Linked DNA regions of Lepisosteus oculatus. The protein of the gene in region 1 purifies or fractionates together with the protein of each later gene. This does not show direct contact. Links are inferred from orthologs where the notes say so. Each region holds a gene or a part of one and is shown on either strand. Other genes may lie near its edges.

The links.
Region 2: the proteins of trmt112 (region 1) and alkbh8 purify together in Homo sapiens (co-immunoprecipitation; 3 studies listed by IntAct, with this or other methods). This does not show direct contact. The link is inferred for Lepisosteus oculatus from reciprocal best matches to the Homo sapiens genes TRMT112 and ALKBH8.

The regions. Positions count from the first base shown.
Region 1 is NC_090713.1:23,015,781-23,031,916, reverse strand, and holds trmt112 (multifunctional methyltransferase subunit TRM112-like protein), read right to left. Parts: upstream 6,379-16,136; 5' UTR 6,225-6,378; coding exon 6,150-6,224; intron 5,263-6,149; coding exon 5,161-5,262; intron 5,083-5,160; coding exon 4,990-5,082; intron 3,994-4,989; coding exon 3,892-3,993; 3' UTR 2,988-3,891; downstream 1-2,987. Other genes in the region: esrra (steroid hormone receptor ERR1), read left to right, coding at 1-171; prdx5 (peroxiredoxin-5, mitochondrial), read left to right, coding at 7,335-7,400, 9,269-9,403, 10,124-10,258, 10,892-11,023, 11,623-11,661, 11,765-11,829, 12,133-12,241; atg2a (autophagy-related protein 2 homolog A), read right to left, coding at 14,199-14,435, 14,927-15,073, 15,671-15,825, 15,922-16,043. UniProt on the Homo sapiens protein: Acts as an activator of both rRNA/tRNA and protein methyltransferases. Together with methyltransferase BUD23, methylates the N(7) position of a guanine in 18S rRNA.
Region 2 is NC_090700.1:10,187,477-10,203,600, forward strand, and holds the start of alkbh8 (alkylated DNA repair protein alkB homolog 8), read left to right. Parts: upstream 1-8,082; 5' UTR 8,083-8,108; coding exon 8,109-8,246; intron 8,247-8,802; coding exon 8,803-9,037; intron 9,038-9,933; coding exon 9,934-10,065; intron 10,066-10,364; coding exon 10,365-10,460; intron 10,461-10,646; coding exon 10,647-10,751; intron 10,752-12,330; coding exon 12,331-12,401; intron 12,402-16,124.

The DNA.
Region 1 (16,136 bases):
CGGCGGCCCGAGGACCCGCGGCGGGCGGGGCGCCTGCTGCTCACGCTGCCCCTCGTGCGCCAGACCGCCGCCCGCGCCCTCAGCGCCTTCTACAGCATCAAGAGCCAGGGCAGCGTGACCATGCACAAACTCTTCCTGGAGATGCTGGAGGCCATGATGGACTCTCCCTGACCCGGCGGGGGGCGGGGCCGGAGGGGGAGGGGGAAAGGCAAGGGGCGGGGCCAGGCGAGTGGATAAGGTGAGGGGCAGGGCCAGAGGGGCAGGTGGGAGGGGCCAGGCGAGTGGATAAGGTGAGGGGCAGGGCCAGAGGGGCAGGTGGGAGGGGCCAGGCGAGTGGATAAGGTGAGGGGCAGGGCCAGAGGGGCAGGTGGGAGGGGCCAGGCGAGTGGATAAGGTGAGGGGCAGGGCCAGAGGGGCAGGTGGGAGGGGCCAGGCGAGTGGATAAGGTGAGGGGTGGAGCCAGAGGGGGCAGGTGGGAGGATAAGGTGGAGGGTGGGACCAGAGGAAGGAAGGTGGGGTTGGGGGTGGGGCCAGGTGAGACGCTAAGGAGAGGAGCTGGGTCAGATTAAGGATTGTAAGGAGAGAGGGAGGGGCGCAGGGTGGGGCAGAGATGGAGAGGAAGGAAGCAGTAGGAGATCGGGGCTTTTCCCCAGAGGCAGACAGGGGACCTAAAGTGCAAACCCCCCGTTTTCCCCTGCCGGCCCCCCGAAACCTCCCCACACCCGCTGGCTCTACCACTGCCTCCTTCTCTCTCTGCACAACAGCCAGAAGGAAGAGGAGAGAGACCCCCCCCCCCCAAATGAGAGACAAAGCCATACTGGACACCTGACCCCAGTGTCACCCTTCACTGAGGCAGCTGGATTGTTTGGGGAAGACAGACATGTGACCCCGAATGTGTGGGAGAACAAGGCCATAGGATATTCTTCAGGGAAGAGGCTGTTCCAGAGGAACGTCCGCAGACAGACAGACAGACAGACAGACAGACACATACTCACACTCAGAGCCAGAGAGACAGACAGGCACATCCTGACAGAGACAGACTGGCACATACTCACACTCAGAGCCAGAGAGACAGACAGGCACATCATCCTGACAGAGACAGACTGGCACATACTCACACTCAGAGCCAGAGAAACAGGCAAGTACTCACACTTAGAGAGAGAGACAGACGGGCCCATCCTGACGGAGACAGAGACAGACAGACTGGCACATCCTCACTCAGATTCAGATAGACAGACAGGCACATCCTCACAGACCCGGAGAGACAGACAGACAGACAGACGGACAGGCACATCCTCACACGCGGATTGAGGGACAGAGTGGGGTTCAGCGCCGACGCCGTGGCTCAGGGGAGCAGGACAGGACAGGACAGGGCAGTCCCGCGGCTCCTGCTGCTGTCCAAGCCATCGCACGGCCTTGCGGGGAGTGATACTGGCCTACTGCGCGTGCGCGGCTTGGCTGCTCATCCCAGCTCTCCGCCAGCAGGCCTGGGCCCCAGGCGAGGAATTCCAGCTTTAACAAAGACTGTTTTTCCAGAAGCAAAATAATGTATCTTTTTATATATACTGGGATAGGGAGAGTAGAGTAATTTATCGTGTAGGAATACGGTGTATTTGTGTCTAAGTGTGTGTGTGTGTGTTTTCTTCAGGGCGGTTGTGTCTCTGCAGCTGTGTATAATGTATACTAGTGTATAATGAGCCAGTGCTTCAGAAACTTCCCACGGGCAGATTTAAGAATGACTTTTTTTTTTTTGCTGTTTATTTTTTTTAAACTGTTTAGAATGCAAAACCTCCAGATTCCTTTTAAAACACAGGAGGAAGAGTCCGGACAGCCGCCCGAGAGCGCCCCCTGCAGTTCAGGGTGGAGGCAGCGCTGGGCTCCGGATCAGGGGGGTGGACAGCCCAGCCGGCGGGATTCCTGACAGCAGCCCGAGAGGCGCGCTGTGCTGCTGGTCGCACCCCCCCGACGCCCTTTGCGTAAAGACGGCAGGTCCCTTGTCCCAGCCTGGCCCCCCCGCAGGAGCCCGGGTTCGGGCTGGGGAGAGGCTGTTGTGTTTTCCCCCCCCAGTGTTTTCCAGAGCAATAATTTCCTTTGTCCCGCTGGCCTCGTCGCTGTAGGGTCAGGGTCCGGGACGCCCGGCCGGGCTGGGACGGCCCGCTGCAGAGTGGGGCAGCGTTTGGAGAGGTTCGGGTACTGAACCGGGAAGAGCACTCTGAGTTCGTCACGGGTTTGCGGTCTCGTCTCTGTCTAGCGTGTGCGTGTGCGTGTTACAAGAGCAATAACTCCTCTATACGTCACTGGTTTTACCTGCTATCGATCAATATGAGCAGTAGTAATAACGATCATTCTAATCCAGAGGGAAGCAGGGAAGAAGAAATTCAATAATTACCGTATGATGGGAGAGAAATGTATTTAAGAGCTGAAATCTATTTTTATTCCCCACGACCTCTCCGGGACTGGTCCCGCCTCCTGCTGGTGTCCCTGGGGTCAGGTGTGTTCCTGTGCTCCTCTGTATTTCTTTTTATAATAAAGCCACACGAGCGCACCGCTCCTCTGGTCTGGCGTGTTCTTGTGTGACGCGGCTCTCGACGGTAGGTGGAACTGACCCTGTGTCCACACACAGCTGTCCACTGTATCTGTCTCTGTCCACACCCACACCTGTCCACTGGACCTGTCTCTATCCACACCCACCTGTCCACTGGACCTGTCTCTATCCACACACACCTGTCCACTGGACCTGTCTCTGACCACACACCTGTCTCTGTCCACACACATACCTGTCTACTGTACTGGTCTCTATCCACACACACCTGTCCACTGGACCTGTCTCTGACCACACACACACCTGTCTACTGTGCCTGTCTCTGTCCACACACCTATCTCTGTACAGGATCTGTGCACCTGTTCCCTGTCCTTATCACATGTACCCTTGACGTACCCGTCCAGGTCAAGAAAGAGTGGAAGAAGACCTGAGGACACAGAGAAGCTGGTGGTCGAGTTTAACTTTTATTTTTTCTGTTTCACAGACTCGACATGTTTGTAGAACACGGGGTCTGTCTCAGTCCTACACTGGACAAAAAACTGAAATCAAATTTAAATCACAGCAAGACGGATGAAAATAAATAGTTTATAGCACAGCAGCTGACAGCAGTGCCCCTGTGTCTGGAGCGAGTTCATTCACAGGAGCAGGCTGGCCTGCCCAGAGGGGTCAAGGGTCAGTCTGGACCAGTGGCAGGGGTTTGTTCAGCCACCCCAGCGGGTGGCCCCTGTCCTAAATCAGCTAATCAATGAACTGACCAAGTCTGCCTCTGCAGATCATATAAGAGCCCAGCCCTGACCCCACTGGACACCCCAGTGCAGTGTGACCCCCAGCACTGACCCCACTGGACACCCCAGTGCAGTGTAACCCCCAGCACTGACCCCACTGGACACCCCAGTACAGTGTGAGCCCCAGCGCTGACCCCACTGGACACCTCAGTGCAGTGTGACCCCCAGCACTGACCCCACTGGACACCCCAATGCAGTGTAACCCCCAACACTGACCCCACTGGACACCCCAGTACAGTGTGAGCCCCAGCGCTGACCCCACTGGACACCTCAGTGCAGTGTGAGCCCCCCCAGCCCTGACTCCACTGGACACCCCAGTGCAGTGTGACCCCCAGCCCTGACCCCACTGGACACCCCAGTGCAGTGTGACCCCCCCAGCGCCGACCCCACTGGACACCCCAGGGCAGTGTGACCCCCAGCCCTGACCCAACTGGACACCCCAGTGCAGTGTGACCCCCCAGCACTGACCCCACTGGACACCCCAGTGCAGTGTCACACAGTGAAGAGCTGGTTCAGACACAGGGGCAGGGCTCGTGTCGGTAGCTGTGAACAGACGTATTCTCTCTAACTCTCATCCTCACTCAATAGCATGTTGGGGACCCCCTTGGTAATGGGGAACTGGTGTCCCGACTCTGGACACTGCAGGCTGCCCTCCATCACCTCCACCTGAGAGAGAGAGAGAGAGAGAGAGAGAGAGAGAGAGAGAGGTGGGGGTTACCCCTGGAAAACCAAGTTCTTTACAGCTTCCAAGATACATCTTTGGACAGTGAGAGGCAGGTGTGCAGGGGAGAGTGAGAGGGGAGAGTGAGAGGGGAGAGTGAGAGGCAGGTGTGCAGGGGAGAGTGAGAGGGGAGAGTGAGAGGCGGGTGTGCAGGGGAGAGTGAGAGGGGAGAGTGAGAGGCAGGTGTGCAGGGGAGAGTGAGAGGGGAGAGTGAGAGGCGGGTGTGCAGGGGGAGAGTGAGAGGCGGGTGTGCAGGGGGAGAGTGAGAGGGGAGAGTGAGAGGCAGGTGTGCAGGGGGAGAGTGAGAGGGGAGAGTGAGAGGCAGGTGTGCAGGGGAGAGTGAGAGGGGAGAGTGAGAGGCAGGTGTGCAGGGGGAGAGTGAGAGGCAGGTGTGCAGGGGGAGAGTGAGAGGGGAGAGTGAGAGGCAGGTGTGCAGGGGGAGAGTGAGAGGCAGGTGTGCAGGGGAGAGTGAGAGGGGAGAGTGCAGGGGGAGAGTGAGAGGCGGGTGTGCAGGGGAGAGTGAGAGGGGAGAGTGAGAGGCGGGTGTGCAGGGGGGAGTGAGAGGGGAGAGTGAGAGGCGGGTGTGCAGGGGAGAGTGAGAGGCGGGTGTGCAGGGGGAGAGTGAGAGGGGAGAGTGAGAGGCGGGTGTGCAGGGGAGAGTGAGAGGCGGGTGTGCAGGAGGAGAGTGAGAGGCGGGTGTGCAGGGGGAGAGTGAGAGGCGGGTGTGCAGGGGGAGAGTGAGAGGGGAGAGTGAGAGGCGGGTGTGCAGGGGGAGAGTGAGAGGGGAGAGTGAGAGGCGGGTGTGCAGGGGGAGAGTGAGAGGGGAGAGTGAGAGGCGGGTGTGCAGGGGAGAGTGAGAGGGGAGAGTGAGAGGCAGGTGTGCAGGGGAGAGTGAGAGGCGGGTGTGCAGGGGAGAGTGAGTGTGCGCAGTACCAGCTCACCTCCAGCAGCACGCGGTGGACCCTGCGCAGGAACTCCTCGTCCTTCTCGTGCTCAGGAGCCAGCTCGTTAGGAAGGTCGTTCAGGTGGCCCAGCTGGAGAGAGAGAAAGGAGGAGGGTCACAGCCCGGCCGCGGCCCCAGCGGTCTCTCCGAGACAGGACAGCTGACTCACGCTGTCGGCCGCCTGCACCAGCACCCCCCACTCCAGCTTGGGAATCATCCGGGACAGGAACTCCGGGTTAAACTCCACCTCACTGACCTGCACCTCCGTGGCCTGAGCAGGGAGACAGAGAGACAGAGAGACAGAGAGACTCGTTACTCAGACTCAACCCCATCACGGCACAATACACACAACGCACAACACAGCCTGGACACAGACACTGGACACAGGCAGACCTGGCTGCCCAGAGAGGACAGGCTCAGTGAGCACAGCCTGGACATAGAAACTGGACACAGGCAGACCTGGCTGTCTAGAGAGGACAGGCTGTGCTCCCACTGCCAACAGGGAGAAATGGAGACAGAGGTGCACTTCCTACTGCACTGTGACAGACACTCTGGAATTAGAGAAACATTCTTCCCGAAATTCAGAAATCTAATCCCAGAGTTCCCACACCTGACAGAATCACAACGGGTCCCAATTCTACTGGGAGAGGGAGGAGGGAACTCAATTGAACTGGCAGCCCAGTATGTGATCTCCTGTCCCAGCCTGAGGAACAGTGAGTCTGTCTCCCACCAATGCTCCAGATGTTTATATGTGAATATCTCATGACCGTGTCTTTATTGTAAATGTCTGTAGATTGTTGTTTTATGTGAACTGTATTTGTTTTGCTCTGGCAACACTGATTGTACTCACCGGTCATGCCAATAAAGCACCTGGAATTGAACTGAATCGATACACAGAGAGGCCCGTCAGGACAGAGAGACGCGCATGGAGGCAGATTCTGTCGTACACTTCACACTTTTAACAGCGCAGTGCTCGCTATATTGTCAGTCATTGTAAAGACTGTTAAAAGGTACAGTGGTTTAGTTAGGGCGCCATCGGTCATACTTATTTTAAACTTCTTTAACTGAAAAACACCCCCCCATAGTATCGGTCTGTAATGAACTGTCCTTGCGTGAACACATGCGCCCTAATGAGCAGGGGGTAATTAACAGCCTTACTTTAATCAGCAGCGGGTAGCCCTTGGTGACCCCCTTCACGTGCGAGGTCAGCATGTTGTGCGTGATGAGCTTCATCCCGAGACGGGGGCCGACACGCAGCGAGACACGCTGGAGGAACCGTGGGAGGCACACGCGCGGGATCAGCGTCCTGGTGTCGCTGTGGGGAAAAACTCACGCCGAGTCGAGAGGCCCACCGGTGGTGTTTGTGGTGGAAGCATGGACCGGAAGAAGCGGGAGCTGGTACAGCAGTAAAATACGTCCCCCAGGACGCACACGTTGCGGAACAACTGGTTCCGCCACAGAATGAGGAATCGAACGAACCCACGTTTTATGGTACAGATCACACGGCGTTGTTTTTCTTGACAACAACTCCCGCAGCTCGTCACTATGTTCAAGAATCACCCGGGGGATTTCTAAAGAGCCCTTACGGAGTGTGGTAAATACATTCCCGCTTCTCCATAGGGAACACGGTTTATTCCACGCTGTTTCGGCACACCTGTATGAAAGCCCCTTTCTATCGGGGAGTAAAAACAACGCGCTATGGCATCTCGCAATTGTGACTTTGTATCTCAGAATTGCGACTTTATATCTCAGAATTGTGACTTTGTATCTCGCAATTGCGACTTTTTATCTCACATTGGCGACTTCGAAATAGCCCACATTTCATTGTCTGTCCTTCTGTTATTGTACCGGATTCGGGTTCTGGGGCTCTGTGCCCCTCGCCGCTCCCGCCCTAGTTCGTGCCTCAGTTGAGTTGAGTTTTTAAGTGGCGATTCTGAAATAGACCTTCACCTGTTCCTTCTCATCCTGACCCAGTCTCTTACAGGAACTGATCCTCCCTCCGCCCGTTCCTGGCTGCTGTTGAAAAGATTCTCGAACAATGGTGCGCTTGGGTTTCAGTTACAGAGGAACTGGGAGGTTCCGTCAAGAGGCTGGGCTCTGACCCGACCTCTGGCTCAGTAACAGGGACAGGGGAGTGACCACCCGCATCAGAGCCTGTGGACAGCGCGTCTGTAAATACCGGGAGAGAATCTTCCAGTCGGGGTGACGTGTCCCCACTAGTCACGAACAGAGAAACAGGAGAGGAGAGGAGCCCCTCAGCCTGTCTGCTAACTGGTCCCCGGCTCTCATCCGGCTGACTCCTGAAAGACATCGGGGTGTCCTGTGGCACACACCTGTCCGTCTATGGACACGGCGGCTTGTTCCACACTCCCGCCACCCTCTGTGTACAGAAGGGCCTCCCGCTCCCAGGTTTGAAAACACCGCCCTGCTCTGCGTGGTGGGCCGCAGTTGAGTGGTACTAGTTTACGGACAAGAACGAGTCGGCCCAGAGGCGTGCAGGGGGACCGGTCAGCCCAGATTAACCCCAGACCCGCCAGGCTGTGTGTTAGAAAACACCGCAGGTGTAGCTGGACACCACCAGGCTGGCGGTGAAACGCGCGCCCGTGTGTTTGGGGGGGCACTCTGCGCCCACTGACCCACATAGAGAGCTCAGGGGCACCGCGTCTCTCCCCGCCGAGCCGGCGGCTCCAGTTTCACTTCCTCCTTCCTCCTCGGTCACCACGGCAACGGTCATCCGGGGCCGTTTATTTTCTCGCTGGCTCATCCTTCCAGGAAAGCGGGTCATTACATCACCACGGGGAGGCGGGGCTTATGACGCGGTCGCCAGGGCAACCGGCTCCGGGAATCCCAGCGCACCTGAGGGGAATTTGTAAAGCAGCGCAGGTGGGGAGCGGCGTCCGCAGGGTCAGGCTGCAAAGGGGACAAGAAACAGGTTTATTCCAGGTGGAGAAGAGAAGAGAGAAAACGCAACGTTTCTCTCACGCCTGAAGAAGGCCTCACAGCCGAAACGTTGTGTGTTCTCTCTTTTCCGCCTGGAATAAACCTGTTACTTGCTCGGGTGTTTGTGAAGCTGTTCCGGACGGACGTGCAGAGTTTTGTTTGCAGGCAGTCAAAGGTGCTTATTTAGATTTAAGGATTTCGATATTTTATGGTAATATGTAATAGAAACATTGGAAAAAGAGCATTGATTTATAGATACTTTATTGATCCCGTGAGGGAAATTGCAGTGCAACAGCAGCTTTACACAGACAACACAGCCGCAGTGTGACGAATGATACAATAATAATAATAATAATAATAATAATAATAGTACAACACATACAATACAATCAGTACAGTGAGGGGTGCACGAAAAGAGTTTCTCACAGTCTGGACACACAAAGAACAAACTAGAACAGAACAGTACACAGAAAAATCGTATCACACATATGAATATATAGATGTAAATATAAATGTATTGCTATGCATTATAGTAAATTTATTAGCCATTCTGGGTGAACTTCACAGTCACAACTCAAAGTGGTCTAATAGTACTCCCCTTTATAGTACTTTTGAGGTGGAGTTGAAACACTATTTAAATTCCATAAAAGATGTGAAAAATGCTAAAGCAAGGAGCACATTTGATTTTACACATCTGTAAAAAACACCCTCTGATCACGCAATTTACTTCATCCCCTCCGGCAGCTGACTGCTCCTGTTTCTTCCTCCTTGTTCCTGTTTCTGATCCTCTGGTTGGATTTGTAAATTCTTCATACGTTTAATACCATTTTTTAAAACAATTCCAGGCGTGTGAGGAGACAGGCGGGGGGGACCCCGGGTGTGTGGGGGAGACGTGGGGGGCTGCCTGTCGCCTTGCACGCCTGTCTGAACGAGAGGCCCGACGCGCCGGGGCCGCTGGATACCTGATCCGCGCGCAGTAATCGGACCCGGGTCCTGTTGTGGGTACAAACAGGCGCAGTGTGTACATCACACGGGCCTGCCGCTCCTCCCGAGAGGCCTGATGCAACTCTCGCACACCTGGTGGGGGTGGGCACCTGCTGCTGCCTGCCTGCCTGCCGGCACTGGGCCCCTCCTTCCGCCATGTTGGCTCCGGCGGTGGAGTACGGCCGGGCGCTGCGGCTCCGCAGCCGGAGCCAAAATGGCCGCCGGTTTCCAGTTCGCAGTTTGTCCCGTCACCAGGGGTGGACGCACTGTCTTCGCTAGCGAGTAGTTTCTCCTTCTTGTTGTCTTTCTGCTCCTCACGCCCCCCCCCCCCTCCTTTCCTCCCGCCTCCTCAGAGCCCAGATCCGCCGTCGCTATATATAGACGCGCACCTGCGGGGCAACATGATTCTCGCGTCGCTGGCCCGAGGAACGCTGCTCCTGCCCGCACGACGCCTCCACGCCTCTGCCGTCGCGAACATGCCCATCAAGGTAAGAGCCAGCCCGGCCTCTGCGGGACACGCACGGCCCCCCGCTCGGCGCCTGCGGGACACGGGCTGCGGGGGTTGGGGACCGGGGCTGCCGGCGGTGCAGGTCTCGGTGGGCGGCGGCGGTGTCGGGGCCGAGACTCCGCCAGACTTCTCCGGAGTCCCGACAGCTGACAACCCAGCCCTGAGCGCCGGGACGAGATGGGCGACGCCGAGCGCACGGTCCGCCCGGGCCTTCTTCATCCCGGCCGTGCTAATTAATGTCATATATATAATAATGTGACGCAGGGCGCCGCTTACACAACGCCGCTCCCACAGCACCACCCCCCCGCCCCGCCCCACCGCACACGGCTCCAGATTTCAACACGCAAAAAGAAGAAACTGATTTCTAAACGCGCCTGGCATCCGGCTCTGCGTTCCTGTTTCATCACGCGTGGAAGTGTTTCCTCATCTCGGAAACCTTTCATTTACTGGACGCGACCGTCTCCTTCCTCCTTTCTCCGCCGTGTGTCCCCTCCTATTCCTTCCCTCCTCCGCCGAGGCGCCGTGTCGCCCCTCCTGCCCGCAGGACGGCTAGCTCAGGGGCGCACCCCTCGCTGCGGGTGGGCGGCTTGTTCCCGGCACCCACCGCCCTCAGTGTAAAGGTGGCGTCGGTGCGCCCCAGTCCTGCCGCTCTGTGTCCGTCTCCTCACCCCCTCCTCCTCCTCCTCCTCCTCTCTCCCAGGTAGGAGACAAGCTGCCCGCAGTGGAGGTGCACGAGGGAGACCCGGGGTCGAAGGTCGCCATGGACCAGCTGTTCAAGGGGAAGAAGGGGGTCCTGTTCGCAGTGCCAGGGGCTTTCACCCCCGGCTGCTCCAAGGTACGGCCCAGAGCCCCCTCCCCTCTCTCTCTCTCAGTTCACTTCAAGGTGCTTCACTGGCATGACCTATGAGTACAATCCGCGTTGCCAGAGCGAAAGAAATACAACCTACAGACATTTACAATAAAGACATGGTCATAAAATATTTACAAACAGACATCTGGAGCATTACTGGGAGACAGGCTCACTATTCCTCAGGCTGGGACAGGAGATCACACACTGTATTATTATTATTGAGAGACAGGCTCACTATTCCTCAGGCTGGGACAGGAGATCACACACTGTATTATTATTATTGAGAGACAGGCTCACTATTCCTCAGGCTGGGACAGGAGATCACACACTGTATTATTATTATTGAGAGACAGGCTCACTGTTTGCTGTTATTTATCTTGGTTAGATATTCGGCTAGTGTGTATTGTCTGTTTAGGGTTCTGCAGGTAGGTTTCTACAGATCTCCATGTGCAGAGTTTCTCTGGGGTGAGTGTACCCCTGGTCTGTGAGGGGACCCCACACTTCCCTGCCGTATAGGGCAGTGGGTTGGAGTACACTCTGAAACACCTGGAGCCAGGTTCTTGCTGGTGGGTTGGTGTTGAAGAGCCTCCTCCTCATTCCCCTCTCCCCTGCCTGCAGACTCACCTGCCCGGCTTCATACAGCAGGCGGACCAGCTGCGCGCGCGGGGCATCCAGGAGGTGGCGTGTGTGTCCGTGAACGACGCCTTCGTGATGGAGGCCTGGGGCCGGGAGCACAGCGCCCAGGGCAAGGTGAGGGGAGGGGGTACTGTCACAGGGGCGAGGGGAGAGGAGGGGGTACTGTCACAGGGGCGAGGGGAGAGGAGGGGGGTACTGTCAGGGGGGCGAGGGCGCGAGAGGAGGGGGTACTGTCACAGGGGCGAGAGGAGGGGGTACTGTCACGGGGGCGAGGGCGCGAGAGGAGGGGGTACTGTCACAGGGGCGAGAGGAGGGGGTACTGTCACAGGGGCGAGGGCGAGAGGAGGGGGGTACTGTCGCGAGGGCGGGGGGAGAGGAGGGGGTACTGTCACAGGGGCGAGAGGAGGGGGGTACTGTCAGGGGGGCGAGGGCGTGAGAGGAGGGGGGTACTGTCAGGGGGGCGAGGGCGCGAGAGGAGGGGGGTACTGTCACAGGGGTGAGTGTGAAGGGAGGGGGGTACTGTCAGGGGGGCGAGAGGAGGGGGGTACTGTCAGGGGGGGAGGGGAGGGAGGTACTGTCGCGAGGGTGAAGGGAGGGGGGTACTGTCAGGGGGGCGAGGGGGAGAGGAGGAGGGGGGTACTGTCACGAGGGGGCGAGGGGGTACTGTCGCAGGAGTTTCTCGCTGACCCGCGGCCGTCTGTCTGTCCCTGCAGGTGCGGATGCTGGCTGACCCCACAGGCGCCTTCACCAGGGTGAGCAGCAGGGGGCGCCGGCGGGGGGGGGGGGGCAGGAATGGGGGGTATTTCGGCGTCTGTGAAGTTCTGATCTCTGAGCCGCTGGTTCTCTCTCTCTCAGGCGGTGGACCTGGTTCTGGACACTGAGCACTTCCTGGAGGTTCTGGGCAACCCGCGGTCCAAGAGGTGGGTCAGGGCTGGGCTGGGGGGCGCTCTGCGAGTCATTGACCAGTCCCCAGGGGCTCTCGCTGCTCTGTCCCCCCCGCTGACCAGTCCCCTGGGGTAGAGGGCAGCCTGTGGTGGCCTCCGCTGACCAGTTGGCGAGATGCCCTGGGTGTAGTGTGTGGGAGTGGGGACTGGACACAGCTGGACAGCGGGCGGGTCTGTGTCCACTGGGGGAGCAGCGTGTTGAAGTGGTCACTCTCTGCAGGGTGTGTGTGTCCGAGTGTTCACGGGCCGCAGTGTGACGCTCTGTGTGTGTCCCCGCAGGTACGTCATGCTGGTGGAGGACGGTGTGGTGCGGAAACTCAGCGTTGAACCGGACGGCACCGGCCTCACCTGCAGTCTGGCCTCCAACGTCCTGTCGGAGCTGCTGTGAGCCGGCCGGGCCTGTGGGCGTGGGCCAGCCAGGACCGGACTGGACCTCAGGCTCCCCAGTGCCTGGCGGCAGCCGGCTGACACCATCTCTCCCTCCAGGGGGCCAGGGTCGCTGCCCCTGCCTGTGTGTATCCTCTGTAGTGTTTCCCACGCTCAATAAAGCGCCTCAGTCTGGTGTTTGTGCCCGTGGGCTCGTGATGTTCCCCGCGCCAGCTCAGGGGCCTGTCCTGCCCGTTTCCCCTGGGGCAGTTGCTAGGAAACTAACCCATCCAAGAGCAGGCAGAGAAACATCCCTCTCTCTCCTGCAATCAAGGTGGGGAGGTTGTTCCACACTCCCACAACTCTTTGGGTAAAACCCTTCCTTTTGTTTGCAGTCTTCACAGTATGAGTGATGTGTGGGCGTCGGTGTCAGTTTATGCTGATGCTCACTGGGGGGACTGGGAGCCTGTGAGGCTTTTGACTCGAGCAGGTCCTGCTGAAAGGTCGGCTGTCATTCTGCTGCAACAGCGACCGGCAACCACAGAGACAAAGACGCAGCCCTGTCTCAGTTAACGTCTCGGTCTCTTTCCTCTTTTCAACACGTTTCCCCATTCCTTCCTTTTCCAGTTCTTACCCACAGGCCCCGGAAGCTGTAAGTGTTGTGCCAACGCAGTGTTTTCGGTCTCTTTTATGAAGAAGGTAATACGACTGCGCTCTTTTTATAAGAGTCGTTACCTCCTGTAGCCCAGGGGGCGTAAGAACGTGGAGAGGGACAGTGCAGACAGCTGCAGCTCGTCCAGGAAAGAGCAGATTCTCAGCGGGAGGTTAAAGGAGTGTCCCAGCTGCAGCAGGAGAAGGAGGTGAACTGGTTGAGTCTTGTTCAGATAGTCTGATGGGAGTATTCACAGAATAAATTCCAGAACAAACTGGAACACAACTCCCCCCCCCCCCCCCCCAGGCTAGGGGCAATTGCACCTCACATGCAGGAAAGGAAACACTACTTTACAAGAAGGGTGGTGGGGGAGTGGAACAGGCTCACCAGACATGACATTGAAGCCGATGCCAGAAACCCCTGGATGAGATCTTGAACAGCCTGGAGGCCACAAGGCTGTTCCACACTCCCACCACTCTCTGTGTAAAGTACAGACCCTCCAGTTTTATAGATTCCTCCACAGATTCCAGGCTTCTTGGCTCAAAACTAAGAGGAGAGTGGGCCCCTGCAGGCAGGTAGGGCACTGCCTGGGATGAATCCCGCCCGGTTCTGGTCCGTGTCTGGCGCCGGGTTACAGCTTCTTCCTTGTGCCGAGTAAAACTGCGCCCCAACACCCCCCACCCCGCCCTGCACTCCGGGGGGGTGACGCCGTGCCCTTCTGCTTCAGTCTGTGTCCCAGTGCTGTCAACATGAGCCCCTCCACCACCTTAACCTGGGCTTGGGCCAGAACCGGGCCCACCGCCGAGGAAAGTGGGGCACAGCGGGGGTCCTGGTGGGGACCCAGGAGCATGAAACGGACCCCCCCCCACACTGCACCCCAGAGAGACGCCAGCAGCCTGCCTCCCAAGGGCACAGTTAGACTTTAAAATATTTTATTTCTTTTTTTAATCTGGTCTGGGTGATCAATGTACAGGTCATTCGTCCATTCGAAGCTGTGGTCACATGAGAGCACACCGCCGCTCGGGCCCCCCCCCACCCGAACGCGCTGGACAGGGGCGCCTCTCTGCCTGGCCGGGGGGGGGGGGAGGGAGAGGGTCATGGCACATGGACTCGCGCGCGGGGGGAAGGGGCCGAGCAGCACATTCACACACACACACATGCACACACATGGAGGGGACAGTGGGGGCTGGACACTGGCCACTCCGGGATCAGAGACGAGCACCCGCCAGCAGCTCCCACACCAGGGCCGGCCAGCAGGGCGGCGCCTCTGCAGTCCCCCTGGGGGGGGCGGGAGCCCCGCCCTGTGCAGCAGGGTTCTCCTTCCCCCTCACTCCTGGCTGTCCTCGGTGCGCCACTTCAAGAAGTCCTCCTTCCGCGCGTCCGGCTTGATCTGGTTCCGCATGCCGCCCAGCAGGTTGGAGGTCGCCTCCGTGGCGACGATGAGAGGGCGGACCACCGTGGGCGGGATCTGCCGCAGGACCCCGCCCACCGCCCCCGGCAGCCCCTTCTGCTCGTGACCCCGCGACGCCATGACGCAGATGGTCTGCGCCGTGTCTATCACCCCCTGCAGGGAGAGAGGGGTGAATACAGGCCTGCAGCAGCCAGAGACAGGCGGGGGAATGAGAGACAGGCAGGCAGACAAGTGGGAGAGAGAAAGAAACAGGCAGACAGGCGGGAGAGAGAGAGAGACAGGCAGGAGAGAGAGAAACGGACAGACAGGTGGGAGAGAGAGAGAGGAGAGAGACAGGCAGACAGGCGGGAGAGAGAGAGAGACAGGCAGGAGAGAGAGAAACGGACAGACAGGCGTGAGAGAGAGAGACAGGCAGACAGACAGGCAGGCAGGAGAGAGAGAAACGGACAGACAGGTGGGAGAGAGAGAGAGGAGAGAGACAGGCAGACAGGCGGGAGAGAGAGAGAGAGACAGGCAGGAGAGAGAGAAACGGACAGACAGGCAGGAGAGAGAGAAACGGACAGACAGGCGGGAGAGAGAGACAGAGAGACAGGGCAGAGACGGGGTGAGGGACAGGTAGCAGCCCTGCCGGCCAGCAGTCTTACCTCGCGGACAGTGTCGTAGGCCTTGGCGACACCCTCACGCAGGTCAGCAGGCTGGGCTGGCCGGCGGTGGGCGTGGCGCCGGTCCGACAGGGCCCGACACAGAGGCGGCGCAGGGGACAGGATGTCGTACACGGTCTCCGCTGTGGCCTGGGGAGAGGGGCACGCCTGTCGCTCAGCAGGGGCAGGCTGGGTGGGAGGCACAGTGGAGGGCGGGGCTCTGGAGAGGCGGGACAGGGCAGGATGGGCAGGGCTCTGGGTGGACAGGGCAGGACAGGGTGGGAGGGGCACGGCCCAGGGCAGGGTTCTGGGCGGGGCAGGGTGAGGGTGGGGGCGTGGCACAGTGGAGGGTGGGGCTCTGGGTGGGAGGGTCAGGGTGGGGGTGGGGCTCTGGGTGGGAGTGGCACAGTGGAAGGTGGGGCTCTGGGTGGGTGGGGCAGGTTGTGGGCGTGGCACACTGGAGGGTGGGGCTCTGGGCAGGGTGGAGCAGGGTGGGTGTGGCACAGTGGAGGGTGGGGCTCTTGGTGGCAGGGTCAGGGTGGGGGTGGCACAGTGGAGGGTGGGGCTCTTGGTGGGTGGGGCAGGGTGGGGGTGGCACAGTGGAGGGTGGGGCTCTTGGTGGGTGGGGCAGGGTGGGGGTGGCACAGTGGAGGGTGGGGCTCTTGGTGGGTGGGGCAGGGTGGGGGTGGCACAGTGGAGGGCGGGGCATGGTGGAGTGGGCGTGGCACGGTGGAGGGCGGGGCGTACCTGAATGGCCTGCACCAGCCTGTTGCTCAGCTCCAGCGCAGCGGAGGCCGTGGAGGTGCCGAAGGAGGCCGCCCCCCGCTGGAGGCCGCGGATAATGCGCCCGTCCCGGCGGTACTGCTCTATGGGCATCCAGAAGAGGTCCCGCACCCCGTGGACTGCAGGCACAGCGAGAGGAGGACAGGGCGTCAGGCGGGCCGGGCCGCAGCGGGCCGGGCCGGAACGCGGCCGCCGAGGTCACTTCCTGTACTCACACAGCTGCACCACCGAGTGCATGGGGCCCACTCCTCCCAGAATCCCCGGCAGCTGGTTCTTGCGGATGTCCGTCAGCCACTCGTTAATGGCGTAATTAATCACCTTCTCCACCCCCAGCAGCCTGAGGGCCAGAGAGAGAGGGGGGTTGTCAGAGGGGAGAGAGACACACGGGGGGCAGGAGAGGAGAGAGACGGGGGGTAGGCTGAGGCGTCTC
Region 2 (16,124 bases), on another chromosome or scaffold:
ACACCTTCTGCTCCCAAGGCTGGGTTCCGACGGGAAGGAAAAAATAACCGTCACATTCCAGAATCCTGAGGATCCTGAGGCATCCTGAGTGCAAATTTTACCATGGCTCTGTCACTGTAAGTTAATCTAAGAGCTATATTTATAATGCATTCTATTCCACTGTCTTTTGCCTCACTGCATTAACATTGCCTGTTGTTCTATAGCAGATCAACTGGGGATATCAAATGAAATCTTCTGTGTTATCACATCATCTACAACAAATATAAATGCAGAACCTTCATATCCCGTGTTTGTACCACTGGAAATTGTGTTACGGAACTTCAATATTAAATTTTACGAGATAGACAGATACTTTATTGATCCTGTGAGGGAAATTGCAGAACTAGTTACTACTAGTTATAGTAGTGCTACTCAGTTAAAAACTGTGTAGTCTTTCTGTCACAGTGTTCTTAACTTTTTTGAGCTTTGGTTAAATGTATGTGGATGTTACAGAAAGCTGATCGCAAGGGCAAGTGTTTAAGATTCAGCGCCTTTTCTTGCTGAGAAATGTTTTGCGTTTCACCAGGGAAACACAAATCCTCACCATCCCATAGGGACCACTTGATTACTTTGCAGCTTGTCACCCTATCAAGCGGCTATGATTGCTCACTCTAAAAATAGATTGTGTACATAGATTTACAGAGAGATTTAAAAGGCACCCCAAACCCATGCACCAGCTCTGGCCAATTTGCAAAGCTGCTCGTCTTTCATAAGTTTGGAAGCTGCCACGCTCCAGATGATTCTTTGACAGTCTAGAGGACACATGTGAAAAAAGATCACGTTTCAATATAACCAAAATTACTGCTCTGATAGATTCTTGGTGCGTGTGATGTCCTCTTATATTCCACAGACTACAAAGTGACAGCACGTACACAGCATCCCAACATTGTGAACTGGATACTGGTATTTCATTGTTTCATAGCCACTTGTCACTAAATATGCCCATCATCATGGCTGTTTTGATGGTGCTTTACTGATTTCTTTCACGCCTCTCATTTTACAGTTTTTTGCTGAAAACATTACATTAATGCTAACATTACTGTTGCTACTTTGTTGTACCAAAAGCTGTGTCAGGTCTTGAAAAGGATGCATATTATTTCCTAGATGTATTAAACAACACTGAAATCCCTGAACACTGAAAAAATTTCAGAATGCTGACGTTCTGAAATTATTTTGGCCCATGCCTTTTTTTTTATAAGAACTGAGTGTGGATGTAAAAAGGATTTAACAAATTATACAATGTTCTAAAATAAGAATGAAATAAGAATAAATAAAAAAAACAACACATTCCTTCAGCTTTTCTGAAGCTATTACTTTTCCACATATGACTTTATACCTGTAATGAAAGGTGAGTATCCTCTTTCCAGTTTAATGATGGAATCTACACAGGTTTGCGTGGCAATTGAAATAGCCTCTGTCTCATGTCAGCACCTTCTTACCTGGTTCAGGTATTGAGCAGTTTTCCAACAAAACCAGTTACAGTTCCAGGGTTTCTCTGGGGCTCACTGTTCTGCTGGCTGGTGCCTTATCCTCCAGGTCCATCTGGGCTGGGAGTGACTGAGTCTCCTCTAAAGTACTCCGAGGGAGGGGATCACCAAATAATTTGGCAACAAAAGCAGTGATGTCACAGAGTAAGTATTTAAAGTCCTGTTTGCAGACAACAAAGCAAGCCAAGGATTTCTGTGAGGGGATTTTTCGGGGGATTTTGGATATTGAGTTTGTATTTATTGGAATTTTAGCCCCTTGGGGAACTTATTTCTTTTGATGATGTAGATTAAGTCAAATCAACTCTATCAATAATATAATACGCCTTAGTCTATCCTGTACAATATTATATGTTACGTTTTATAGTTCAATGTTTTCTATAAAACTATAGGTACTATAACATTCACAAACATCACATTGGAGTTTTCTAGTGTTTATAGTGGTTTTTGATACTATTAGCACTCACTGCAATGCATTATGTTTGACTAAACCATGACTGACTTTAATATTTAAGCAATTCTTGCTTCTAACCACTAACTAAGCTTTACGTTGTTTTTCTCAGATATCTTTCTTTGCTTTTCTGAATCAGTGGTTACCATATACATGTTTCTGGGCAATGTGCTGTATTTACACAATGGCGAATCTTCAATTGCAGAATAATTCTAAGTGAAAATAACAAGTACAATTATTTGCCAAAACTCACTGTATTTTTAGCATTTTTTCAAAGTTTGCATTTACCTGATTTACCAGCAGAAACAGGATAGACACATTTTATCAACGATACAAATTAACTGCTGAAGATAATGGCTGCATGCTAGGCTAATTACTGTATTCCAGACACAACCATGCTTGATCCTGGACGTCGATTCTGATGCAACCACTGGGATATGATGACTCTGACCTCATTAGCAGGGAGACTGAACATTTGTCCAGTTGTGATAGATGGAAGCTGCCCAGTGGACAGTGGTGAAAGTAATGCACTTCATGACATCCGGATCGACAGCATCTTGTACGAAGCAACAGAGTGGCACGGTTGTCCTGAGTACCTGGAAAATTGATTTAATACGGCAAGTGGACAAGTGGTGGATATGGGGGAGAATACTCTAATTTATAAATGTACAGTATCTAAGGAGTGCACCACAAGAAGACATAAAGACCTATTCTCTGTTTTGTGCCTTGATTCCATTAAATTCCATTGAATTAAATTGTGAGCACAGTTACTCCAGATGGAGGATACTGTAGATACTGGATGAGCCTTTTCCAGGTCCTTCTGTTTCGACTGAAGGATGAAGGTGTAATGAAAAGTGAAACTTTTATCCTGGCACTTACCACGAAGCAGGATACACCAGAGAGGAGACGGAAATGTTAAACGTTGCAGCGGACAATGTGTTTTCTTCCTTTCATTCTGCTCTTCAAAAGAAGAATGTCTTTGTGGATAATATATTTAGTTAATATACTAATGTATTTAGTTATTATGTGATTAATGTATGATCTAAAATACAGCTGTTTGATGTCCAGAAATGAATATGCCGAGTGTAGATCAATTTTCAAGCACTACCATTGAAGTGGCTTTTTTAGGGGCAGAAAATCAGAACTATACATATTTAATATTGTCCAAACCTGGTAATTATATAGGAGGTTGGGAGCCCAGTATTTCCTGGTATCACTACAATATTCATTCCATTGCTAATACAATCATCTAGTCAACATCTAAGAGTGTTTATGAGGACTAAATGGAGTGGGGGTGATCACATATGGTTGGGATATTTTCAAATAAAAGCCTAAATAAGATACCTGCAATACAGAAATCATTATGCGTTATGATTATATTCTCCTAATAACCACAGTTTACAAATTAAAAATATGGAGAACATTTAAAATGTTAGCCCATACCATTGTTTTGTCATTTTGTGTATAGAAGACATTTTGCACACTCATGCCAAATCTTATTGAACAGTGGGACAGTTTTCTATAGGGCTGTAAAACTTGAACAACTATGGGCTCAGTTATCTGCTATGCTGTAGTAGTGGAAAGAGAGCAGTTGGATCAGTGTTGTTAGATCAGTGAAAATTGAATTGCCTTTTATACATTTTATTTCCTAGATATCACTGTATCCTCCCTCTTTACGATTATTTCCTGCTCAGTTACTATTGTGTTTCTTAACAATTCTTGAGAAGGGCTACACTCTAACCTTCTCCTAAATTCCCACAGCAGTCACTGCTTCATACCTCACATACTGTAGCCACTCTGTTCTAAATATAAAGCTACATTCACTATCCTAAATTTCATATGGGAATAAACATCCAGTGTGGCATGAGACTGGAGCTGATACAGTATGAGCCTGTTTTCCTCATATTTTCCTCAAATGTTGACATATTGTACAATATGAATTTGTCCATATTATTTTCTAGTATTCTTGGACACATTTCTAGGGTACAGTGCTTCAACTGAACTGCTATATGAGTCACTATTGACACTCACATTTTAACACTCCTACCAAAGAACAAATTAGGTTCTTGCTACAAAGAAAAGAAAGAAGTACGTGGTTTTTCATTTCTTTTTCGGTAGATCCCACTCCTTGAGTGACTGGAGTGACTCAGGTCACGATTTTAACCAAAATATGAGTTCAAAGTGACAGGTCATATAACCTTCTGCCATTATGTTGAAGGTATTGCAGCTCAGATGTTTTGTGTGTGTTCAACAAGAAAATGCAAAATGCAGAGGTGGGGTCTTAGTGTCCCAGATCTTTAAGCACCTCTTTGGATAGGCAGACAAGAGCTCTGCTTTAGGAACCAGTGTGGAAGCAAAATTCGATGCACCCTTGCAACTTCAGTGCTGTTTCTGTTTGCTGAATGAAAGCCAACAAAGTAGATCATCAGAGTGCAGAAATGTTTCCTGTATTAATCTTCATCTTATGGTAAACATTCCATATGGTGAACATTTATGTTCTGTGTCAAATTAGCTGTATATATTTGCATTTAACAAGCTGAAATATAAGGATGTTTTCTAGAATCCTTGCAATATGACCTCCTTGCAAAACCTTGCCTGCAACCGAGTCCTTCCAGGCTATTTGCCACCTTTAACAGCTGTGAACACTAGTATTGCTCAGCTATTACTCAAAATAGACATTGCTAGATTATTCCATATCAAAGATTCTTATAAGGCACGTCTACTTAGACCCTATTTTTTGTCTTTCCTCCCTCATCCAAATGTTCTACAGAGCCCAGCTTTCTTAAATGGTTAAAGTAAGTTAATATTGGTTAACTATAATTAATAGAAACACTTTAGTAGGATTTCATAATGGATTGTATAAATCAATGATATGCTATCAAGTACGACAATTTCACAAAACTGTAGTTCTGTACAAGTTTGGCCGTTTGTTCTTTGCCTTAGTGATTTCAATGTATGAAAAACAAGTTGCATTTTATATTTAAGGTTTTAATTTCACCAGTTGGATGCAGTAGTTTAACTTCTGGGTCACAAACACCTGCATTTTGGACCCTAACATGTAGAAAACTGAATAGAGTACCAGATGGTCATCAAATGAACAGAGAACCAGACGTCATGTTGTTTGCATATCTTGCTGTAAATCTAATAACCTCACCCTTACCATATATGCTGTACACAAGATGCTGTGTTTATTGCAATTCATCAAAATGAGTGTACAGGAAGGCCTGAAAATGATTAATGTTAGGATAAAGCATCAGTGCCAGTAGAAGGACTTTGTGTAAAGGTCTAAAACATATAACTCATCTCCTGTCTGCTGGAAGTGGGGTCTTGTTAAAGGGATTGCAGGTTAAAAAATTTCCTCATGCTTTTCATTCTTAGTGATGATTCTAGAGGGCACTATATAAGCAATCAGTGCTATTTAAAAAACAGGTCAGATTTCTCAGGAGCATTCTGTTTCATGCGATTAAAATATAGAGATTCCAGTGTAGATCTGCCTTGGCTACAAGGTTGAAATAACAGAGCTTTGAATGCATACTGCAATGATACACCTTACAGTTGAAAAATCCCAACCGGGATGAAGGAGGCCATGGAAAATTACAGACATTTCGAACAGGTGCCTTCAGTTACAGCGCCACTGGAGGGTGCAGGTTTGTCAGTTATGGTAAAAACTAAGGGTTTAAACTAAAGTGTCTGTCCCAGCTGCACTGGATATTGATCTTATTCTGTCAGCTCTGTCAGCTTTAACCTTTGCTGGCTCAATGCCTCTAATTGGTCACTTTCTGTTTATAAAAGGAAATGGCAAATTTAATTGCTGCTCACAAAGGTGTCGTGTTGTATGACGGAGGTTTAAGGGAAGACGTATTTTTAACGTTAAACTAGCTTCCACGGGTCAGTCATGTGCGCTGTTGGTCTTGGCCGTGATAAGTTTCCAGACAGAGAGGGCAGGCCAACAATGTGTCAACTAAGCCACTTGACATTGCTGGACAGGTGGTTTTCAAAATTTGTTATTAAACACTGTGCCGCGTCGTTTGATCCTGGTTCAGCAGCCAGTCATACAATATCACGAAAAAAAGCCCTCAAACAATCAGCAGACTATAACAGACAGGGATGAGTGCAGAATGCAGAGGTTGGATATAGTCTAATTGATTCCCCTCAGACATACAGCTTAAAGCTTGCCGCCATAGGCTAAATTCTTCTTTGCTCTTGATGATTGATCTAAGGTGCTGAAACTAAAGTTGATCTCTGTTTTCACATTGACACCAGCTAACTCACTGCCCTCCCCAAGCCTTCCACGTTAACATAAATAAATACCAAAAAGGTGATAAATACCTAGCAGTGTGCTGGACAGCAAGGCAAGTCTCTTTTTTATTTACACTTAAGGGAACTTCAGTTGTGGTTGCATTACTAATACAGATATGAGACTCATATTTAAAATTTACGTGAACCTTAAGCGTTCATCAGCCTTACAAGAATGAACAAAGCTTTCGGTGATTAAAATCGCCACACAGCGGGAAGCCAGCTGTACTGTAGTGGGAGTGGAAACAATCTACCTTTCTTTCTCCCAAAAGTGTTTCTAAAGGAAATTCTTCCATATTTTCTTTTCAAGTTCGATAGTCTTACTATTTCAATTCATGATTATTTGATTTGGGTTGTTTCACAGGATTGATGCCCTGAAGCCAGGCTACAATACCAAAGGTAAATCTGATTTAGATGAAGGTACCAATAAAAAAGGCTTGCAGTGACTGATAAATGTTCACCTGTCACAACAACAATGTACTTTTTAGATCAAATTACAGTTCTGTGACAGTGCCCACATATTTATACCCCTCTTCTCTTTCAACCTGCTGACCATAAATTCTCAGTTATTAACTTTACCAGAGTCTTTTCCACATTTAAGTAGAAGAATGAACTTAAAGGGACACTATTCTGCAAAGACATCAATTTCCCTTTGAAATGCCACTGTTTCATGTGTCCACAGAAACTGTGCCATCAGGGTATTTTATGAAAAGATTTTCAGCACTAGTATTCCAATAATGTAGGTGGAGTGGTGGCTCTGTGGCTAAGGATCTGTGCCTGTGGCTGGAAAATTGCCGGTTCAAATCCCTTAGCTGGCAGAGGAATCCTACTCTGTTGGGCCCCTGAGCAAGGCCCTTAACCCCAACTCCTTCAGGGGTGCTGTATAACGGCTGACCCTATGCTCTGACCCCAAGCTTCTCTCTCCCTGTTTGTGTTTCATGAAGAGCAAGCTGGGGTATATGAAAAGAGTAATTCCTAATGCAAGAAATTGTATAGGGCTAATAAAGTGATGTTATGTTATAAAGTTTTTGTATATAATTTGGACACTACTGGAGAAATTACCGATCTTTGAGGGGCTCCTATGGCCCTAAAGTCACAATATGTACCATTAAGTGCTTCAGATTGAACCCAGTATACAAAAGTAAAAACAATGTTATATTTTATGCAGACAGTACACACCTTCTTGGGTACTAACCCCCGCTGTTAGTGGAATATGTCATAAACATGTTCAGAAACTTTACTGTGCAATAAAAGCAGACTGTGAAAGAATTTAGAGAACACTTTTAAGGGTTTCCTCTTTTTCGGCAGGCAATCTGGGAGAGAGGGAGTTTAGTATCTATTTGTTAGACCAATGAGACCAATGAGAAACTTTCCGGGAACACATCCAGAATGTTAAAACCATTAATATAGAAGGCTTGTGCAGAAAGATCAGAGAGTAAGACAACAGGTGTTTGGTTTTACCACATTTGGCATGCAAACCCTTACTGATGGCTGTCCTTGACTTAAAAAAGCAGTAAGAACTCGTAGTCAAGGACAAGAACAATTCAGAGTGGTCTCAAATCACTGATGTGTACAGGATGTGTGTATGTCTCATGTACAGCAACTTTCTGTTTGAGACATGCACACATCATGTATTGATTAGTTTAACATGTTAAAGTTCTACCAAACTTATGTTTACTATTAAGAGCAATATAATTATTTTAATACATAAACAAAAAGCACGGCAAAACTGACTGCTGTCAGTTTTGTTATTAATCCTTCCAGCGATGGCTTTAACTGCCGCTAGGAACCATTTTCTTTTCTTCTGTTTCGTTCAGTGTTCAGTTCATTGTGGCACCATGGAGACATGCTTGGAAGAAGGCGTGAAACTACAGAAAAAGACTAAAGAGGAGAAAAAACTTTTAAGGAAGCAATTAAAAGCGAGCCATACATTACTAAAACATGAAGGCATTGACACAGTGTTGATACCAACAAAGGTGACACTATTTTTGTTGAAATAAAGCACTTGTAGTACACCGATCTTATGTTTAAGATACAGAACCTTAAAGATGTTTTTATAATTTATATAAAAATGTTTATATTGTATGTATGTCACGGATATGTATGTCACTTAAAAATGTAAATTGTATTGCGCTTAATGATGCTGTCATTAGCAGGTTTCGTTGCTTATTACGTACGCTGTTATTCATCAGTGACAGTTTGATCAAATCGTAACGCCAACCGAATGGAGTATCTTTGTTTCTTCCCCGAAATCGATTTAAAACTCAAATTAGCCCAAGCCTAAAAAGAAGGCGAATAGGTAAACGAATAGTCACTCTATTAGTACTCTTTCTGTGCAATTAACAACCACGTGTTTAAGAGAGCATTGTTTTTAAAACCTTAAGCATTTGGCGTTTTCATGCCTTGATGATCAAATGATTGAAAACAGTAATGAAACATCAAACGTGCGTAGTCGCTTTGCCCGGGGCCCGACAATGTAGGACGAAAGAAAGGCAAGTGAAGGGAAAACGATTGTGATTTCTCTTGTTTCAGAGCCTGGTGGTAGCTAACGGTGGGCTTGGCAATGGGATGAGCAGAGAGCAACTGCTAGAGGTGCTAGAACAGTGTGGCTCACTCAGGGCAGTACTCATGCCACCAAACAAGCCCTATGCCTTTGTAACTTACCAGTCCGTAGATGCTGCTCAGCTGGCGCACAAAACCCTCAATGGCAGACAGCTCGATACGGAGCACCAGCAAGTCACCCTGTACTTAAACTTTGTAGAGGAAGGTGAGCCGAGATGTTTGTTTGTTTGTTTGTTTGTTTGTTTGTTTGTTTGTTTTTTATTTGTTATTTTGGAAAGTAGCTGTGGCAAGATTGCGGAAAATTCAGTTACAGGTACATCTCTGACAGTCAGGGGAAATGTCGGGGTAAAAAGCCAGCTCAGGCTTGGTTTGTAGGGCAAAGGGAAGATAAGTCGAAATGTGGGCTGCCCTGCAGTGTTATTTATTAAGAGGGTTTGGTTTCAGGGTATCCCGTGTTACTGAAAAGAAGGAAGCTTTTTCCAAGGAATTGTTTTTTGAGCGCTAGGTAGGGCGGTTTCTGAACACAGGGGCAGTAAGGCTGTTACAGTATAGAAAATAATGCAGACAGGCATTGATTGAGGGACAGTCTAAAGCTGGAATTTAACAAAAAAATATTGTCCTTAATTCTATGCTTGTTGCAGTGTACAGTTTTAGAAATGGACTATGAAAAATGTTATTTTTCCAATAAACACAAGCCTTGGATGTCTGAATGTTTAATTATTTTATTTGTGAGGTTCTTATAATGAAGTTATAGTGCTCTTTTCATACTAACAGATTTGAGAGAACCTGAGGCCCACTTTTAGAGAATCAGTCCTACTTTTAACAATTTTATATTTTACCCATGGAAAGTGATGGAAAGTACAGAACCTGTTACAGCAACAGCATGTTGAGTGATGACTTGGAGATGTTTAATAATGAAAAGATCGTTTTGTTCAGTGATTTGCCACTTTTGTATCCTGACGTGTGTTTAGATCATCTTAATCTCAAAGGTTAATTGGAGGCAACCTTAATCGACAGTATGTGTGACAACATCAATGAGTAAGGTCTCAGTAACTTCACAGGAAATGCTTTAAGGATGCCCACCAGTGTCTCTCTCTGCAGTAGGAAGTGTGGTTTGGCAAGGACAGGAGCTGCCCCCTGGTCTGAAGGTGGTGGAGGAGTTTCTATCACCTGAGGAGGAAATGAGACTGCTGGGAGCCATTGACTGGGGTTCTCATAGCAACACAGACACTGGTGAGAGGTTCATAGCACTTTCTAAAGTCTTTCATAACAGTTACTTCAAAATCTAAATATACCTCTTTTGTGTACCTGTTTCTGCTAGTGAATTTGAATGGTTAGTAGTGCCTTAACTTCAATGTTTTGAAATATTTAAGAAATTGTAGATTTCAAAAAGTTAATAAAATCATAACAGGCCTTTGTGCCTTGATTTATAGCATTTCTGAAAATGTAGTAGTTTCTCGCATTTTAAATTCATTTAGTAATAATGGATATTAGATTGGTGTGGAATAATTTCTTTTCTCTTGCTGTTATAGCTCAGAAGGCTTTGAAACATAGGCAAGTAAAACACTATGGCTATGAATTTCGGTATGACAACAACAATGTGGACAAAAACAAACCTTTACCTGGAGGTAAGTACATTTGTATGAATTATTTTCTATAATTCAGTGATTTGATTTCACAGTTAAAAAATCCAGGTGAATTTAAATTGAGTGCCAGATACTGGGTTGAATACAAAGTTTTAGTTGTTTCTATAATGTTTTTTCTACCTCATCATTGTTGTAAATAGAATGTTTGTGGTGCTGCTTGTTTTTCAGGCCTGCCCATGTTTTGCAATGAAGTGTTAGACAGATGTCTGAAAGAGAATCTCATAAAGGTCAAACCTGACCAGCTCACAGTAAATCAGTACCAGCCAGGACAAGGTAGGCTGTGGTGCACTAACACTGATTCAACACAAGAGGGCAGCAAAGACCTTTTGTATAAAATACCAGCTATCAGTGGGGAGGAGAACAGAGTGATGAAACCAGTTCTGAGATGGGGATTATTATGGTAAAGGCCATGGGGAATTTTGTTCAGGAGATTGGGGTAACACCTGTACTCTTTTCACGAAACATCCTGAGATTTCTAATGACCATGGAAAGTCAGGACATTTTTTTGTCCGAAGCACGGCGCCTTTTTTACAATATAGTGTCCACATCACTATATGGTGGTAACAGGACCCACATAGAGTGCAGGGTGAGCACCCCCTACTAGTCCCACTTCTTTCAGCAGTAATTTTAGGTTTCCCAGGAGGTCTCCCATCCAGGTGCTGGCCAGGCTCACACCTGCTGAGCTTCAGTGGGCTGCCAGTTGTGCCTTTTTTGGTGCACTTATTTGTATTTTCAACTTTCCAGTAACAAAACAACATTTCTTCAAAGGCACATTTAAAGGGAAAAACAGACCCAAAGTCACAGAACCCCAGAGACACAAAATGTTTCAGGTGTTTCAAGGAGCCTTTTTCAGGTGTTACAACCTTCACAGACCCGAAGAAGGCTCCACAGCTGAAATGCTGTCACTTTTATTTACTTTCAGCATGGAATTAACCTTTACCTGTTCCTTTGCTGCTTACACATACTGATGCAGCTACCTATTTTAATTTCTTCTACACCTCAAACAAGCAAAACCTCAGAGCACAAAATCTTCCATGTCCATAGAAGTCCATGATGGAAATTTTAATTATAAGCATCTCTTAATTAATGTTTTTTTATTAAAAATAATATTTTTTTGGGAAAAAAGAAGCTTCCATCTTTGTGATTAAATGGATAACATTTGATTTGCTGGGATACTGCAGACCTGAAAGGTGATACTCCAAGTGTATTGCAGCATCTCTATTGGAAATGGACCATATATTCTCTGCAGCATGAGGAGCTTGAGAATGTGTCAAAAGACAGATCCTTATTTGTTCTTGTTTGCTTCATAAGAGTGAATACAGGGTGTGTTGGTGTTTGAAAGAGCCATTTTTAATCATTGCTGTGTGTAGGAAATTAACAAATCATTCAGAACAGAAAGTTACAGAGATTATTTCAACACATATGCTTCATGTGTTGTAACAATTATTACTTTATTGTTGTGCTTGAGTTATGAGTTAGACTTTCTAATCATTTTGCAATCATGTTCTCATCAGAGAGTGGAACCTACTGTGCTGATTGCTCAGCATTACAGCTGAACTCTGCGGTACTGAAGAGAGCTTTTCATTGTCTACAATCTCAGTATGTCCACTATTAAGGAGCGGAAAAGAATAATGATTTCTGGGTTTATTTTGAATTGTTTAGCTGTAATCAGTGTCAGGTTTCTGATCTTTGTTTTTACTAAAGCATGAGGAGGTTATATGCATATTATATCCCAGATTAAATCACATGCAGTGCATACACGAAGACACATGGACTTAAGTGTTACATTGTTCTGCAAAATGTGATATTTTTTAAATATATGCTTTTATTTGTTTTTTGTTGTTTTTGACAGGTATTCCACCTCACATTGACACTCATTCTGCCTTTGAAGATACAATCATCTCATTAAGTCTTGGAGCGAAGGTACGCTATTTTTGTTTTTGGTGTGCAGTAATCCCATCAGCTATATGTTTATAAATGAGTTATTGCTTATATTGGATGTAGGAATTTCTTCATTTTTTTGCAAAACTGGGTTCTTCTAAAGCCATAAACCATTTTAAACTCTTTTGTTATTAGAAAGACTTGTGTATTAAGTGCAAATACAGTACAGTAGTATAGGATGGTATTTAAATGAATTTAATTAGGCCGCTAAATCAAATTTAAAGCTGGAGCCTGTGTGATGGTTTTTTAGAAAAGACCAGGATTATCTGATCAATGTCATATTCGGATACACAAAAATGTTTAGTTCTTCATCTTGATTTACCTTCTTCTACAATCTTCTATCTACTATACTAGTAATACTACTATTATACTATAATATACTAGATACTAACTGAACAGTACCAGCTATACTATGTTATACATTATACTCAGTCATAAATAGTTGATATAATCAAGGTATTTTGCCCATCTCACATTTAAGCTCTGTCAATTAATTTGATCCTAGAGCCCTTCATAAGAGTAAATTACCTATTACCACTCATTAATGAGTGAGAGAACCGAAACCTTTATGTTCTCTGTCAGGTTCTTTGATAGCATTATAGCAGTCTGAATCCGCAGGATTTGTGAGCAGTTAAACCAGAAAGTAGGAAGAAATTCTTTAGAATATGAAAGCCAAAGGCGATGTGGAGACTATAATGATGGAAAAAAGAAACGCAACACCCCCTCCTCCACACTATGGCCCTCCCATCTGCGTGGAACAGGCTGAAGAGTGACTCATCTGTGGAGAGGACCTGATGCCAATGCTGACGAGCCCATCGCAGCCTCTGTCTGGCCCAAGTCAGTTGGGTGTGATGTCTAGGAGGTGTGAGCAGAGGGCCTCTGATAGGTCGCCTTGCTCTAAGGCCAGCAGCATGGAGCCTCACTGTCCTGTCACTGATGTGGGCATTGTGTCTGCCAGCAGTTTCAGCAGCAGTACGGGTGGCAGATCTGAACCGATCTCTCAGATGGACCAGTCTGATGTGTCAGTCCTGCTCTGGTGTGGTCAGTCGAGGGCAACCGGATCTTGGACGGCCATCTGTCCTGCCAGTCTGCTGAAACCTTCTCTGCAGTCGGGATACAGTGGAGTGGCTTACTCATTAGTGTCTGGCAATGCTGGCACATGACATGCCTGCCTGCAGCTTGCCAGTGGCCCTCTCCCTTGCTTCTGGTGACATTCGAGGCATTATGGAAAACAAATTAACAACTTTTTGTGAAAATACATAAGCTATAACTATAGCATTCTCATTCCAGAAAATGTTGTTACTTTTTTCTATTAGTATATTTAAACTGCATGATCCTTTTAATGGCAGCAACTGAACTTTAGATGTGTGTTTTTTGCATTCTGAGTCTTTTAGATTAAGTCTGTTTTGTCTGGATGGGGACCAATGAAATCTGTTGAATTGTTTAAGCCCCATTCTAATTTCTCTTGGTAGTCTTTTGACATCCTTAAGGATCTTAAAAGACTGTTGTTGTTTATTAAAGAGATGTTTAAATCAGCCTCCCACTCATAGCTTGAGCTTGGAGACTTTCTTCGTCCAGTTCTTGAAAGATGATATAGTACACAGAAAACCTCATGCCCCTTTCCAAATCTACTAAAATGTTTATGTATTGCGATGAGTTAAAGACTTGACTTAATGTCTGAGTTGTTGATCACTCTAAAATAATCTAATAATGGTTAATAGACCAGTCTGAAGCATTGTAAACCATAAATCGCCAATCATTATTACAATTTTCAATTAGAGCCTCAGACTTTCTCCAGGTCATTTATTGAGTTATTTTTAAATTAACTCTTTTTGCTTCACTGTTAATGAGGAACTGTTGGCAGGGCAGATTAATTACAATTCACAGAGTTACTGGAACCTGAAACAGTGCTTTAGACACAAATCATTCAGTAGTCTTACTTCACTGGATGGATAGCAGGTGATTTCTCTCAAAGTAAATGTCAGACTCTGACAAGCTTTACTACAGTCCAGTGATTTACTGAGCTACTGATGAACTTTGTCCAGATCTTCCCTCTGAGCAGCGACTAAGGCAAAACATAGCCCCGGTTTGCAATAATAGGAACATTGCAAACTAGAACAAAAACAAAATGTCAACTTGGCAGTCTGCATGGAATTCAAACTAGATAGGGGTCGATTAGAAAAACACTTGAGTCGTTTCTTGTGCATGAAAATCGAAATAGGTGACACGAAGAGCTTCAAAAACAGATTAGTTTGTGAATGTCCCGATTTATATGTTTCACTTTTTCCATCAGGCTTTACAGAACATTTGTATGCTATGCAGCAAGGTCACCATCATTGTCCTGGAGGTGGAATTCACTCATTTGCTATAATGTGACTCATGGAAGCCTGCCTGCTCGAATTTTTATCTTGCAGTTTAAGTGACCTGTGGTTAGGCTTTTATTTATGCCTCTAGAGAACTCGGTGCTTTATTAGAGACTGTACATCCTGACCAACTGAACCTTAACGTCTCACTCAGGTGTGATGTTGTAATGACTTCGGCCCATGAGCTGGACCTGTGGCCAGTCTGGTGTTTCTCTCTAGTCCCCACAGCAGCCCTGACTATCTCTTGAATACCTGCTGTTCTCTTCACTCCCTCCTGGATCATTGATCAACCCGTTCCTCCTTGAGGGGTTTATGACTGGCATCTATATTCCATCTGTCAGCTTCGTTCTGTGGAATTTAACCTTCTCACTCTCCTTCATTCTTTTCCTTATGGTTGCTCTCTGTTGTTGCTGCTTACTTTTCTTGCTCTTGGTGGGATTTGCATTTCCTCTTTATCGCGTCCCTCCGTGGACTTTCCTGTTGATCCCCCGCCGTCTCATAATCCTTTCTGCGATCTAAAATCTGTCACTCTCTTTTCATCCTGGGTGGGTGGGGAACTAATGGAGTCAGAAATGAGCTCGCTGTGTTCCTCTCTGTCAGCTGCTCTCCGGGGGCTCGGCTGTAATAAAAGGCCTGGTTGTTGCTATGGTCCCTCTCCAGGTCCCTTGACTCAGTCCTAATGTGCAGGGAATACACCAACTTCTGTATTCATCTGGGACCCGTCCTCCTGTCAGTTCTGCTTGCTTTTCTCTCAAAGAGTTGCTTCCCACGTGGTAGAGAAAACAACCTAGTAGAGTGGTTTGACAGGCCGAAGGACATGCCTCATGGGACATTTTCAGTATGGTACTCTCTCACAGGGACAGTCTCGCTCAGCTGCTGCCTCTCCACTTGGAGTTTTCTTTTGGTATCTTTTCAAGCTTATTTCTGACTCACTGATGGGTGAGAACTCTGGGTGTGAGCCCACTGCAACTTGTTCCCGTTAATCCCCGATCTCTGACTGGGAACCCTTGAGGGGTCCTGATGTTTCCCTCCTCTGAACATTGATATCCTAACAGAGCCCTAGACTACTATCTCTGGTCCTTATTTGGCCATGAATGCTGTGCCATAACCGAGAAATGGCCTGCTTACTTACTTGGTGTCTGACTTTTCCGACAACCCTGATATAGGAGTGTTGGATCTTATGAGTAGCGAGTGTCTAAGCTCCTTCTGACCTGTTCTCTTAAACTCCTTTTAGTGAATACTATTACCTGGTAGCATGTTTGGAATTTCCCCAAGATAAATTTTCTCTCGAGATTCCACATGGAAATCCCTAGAGAAGCAGTACTGACAAGTACAGAATAAT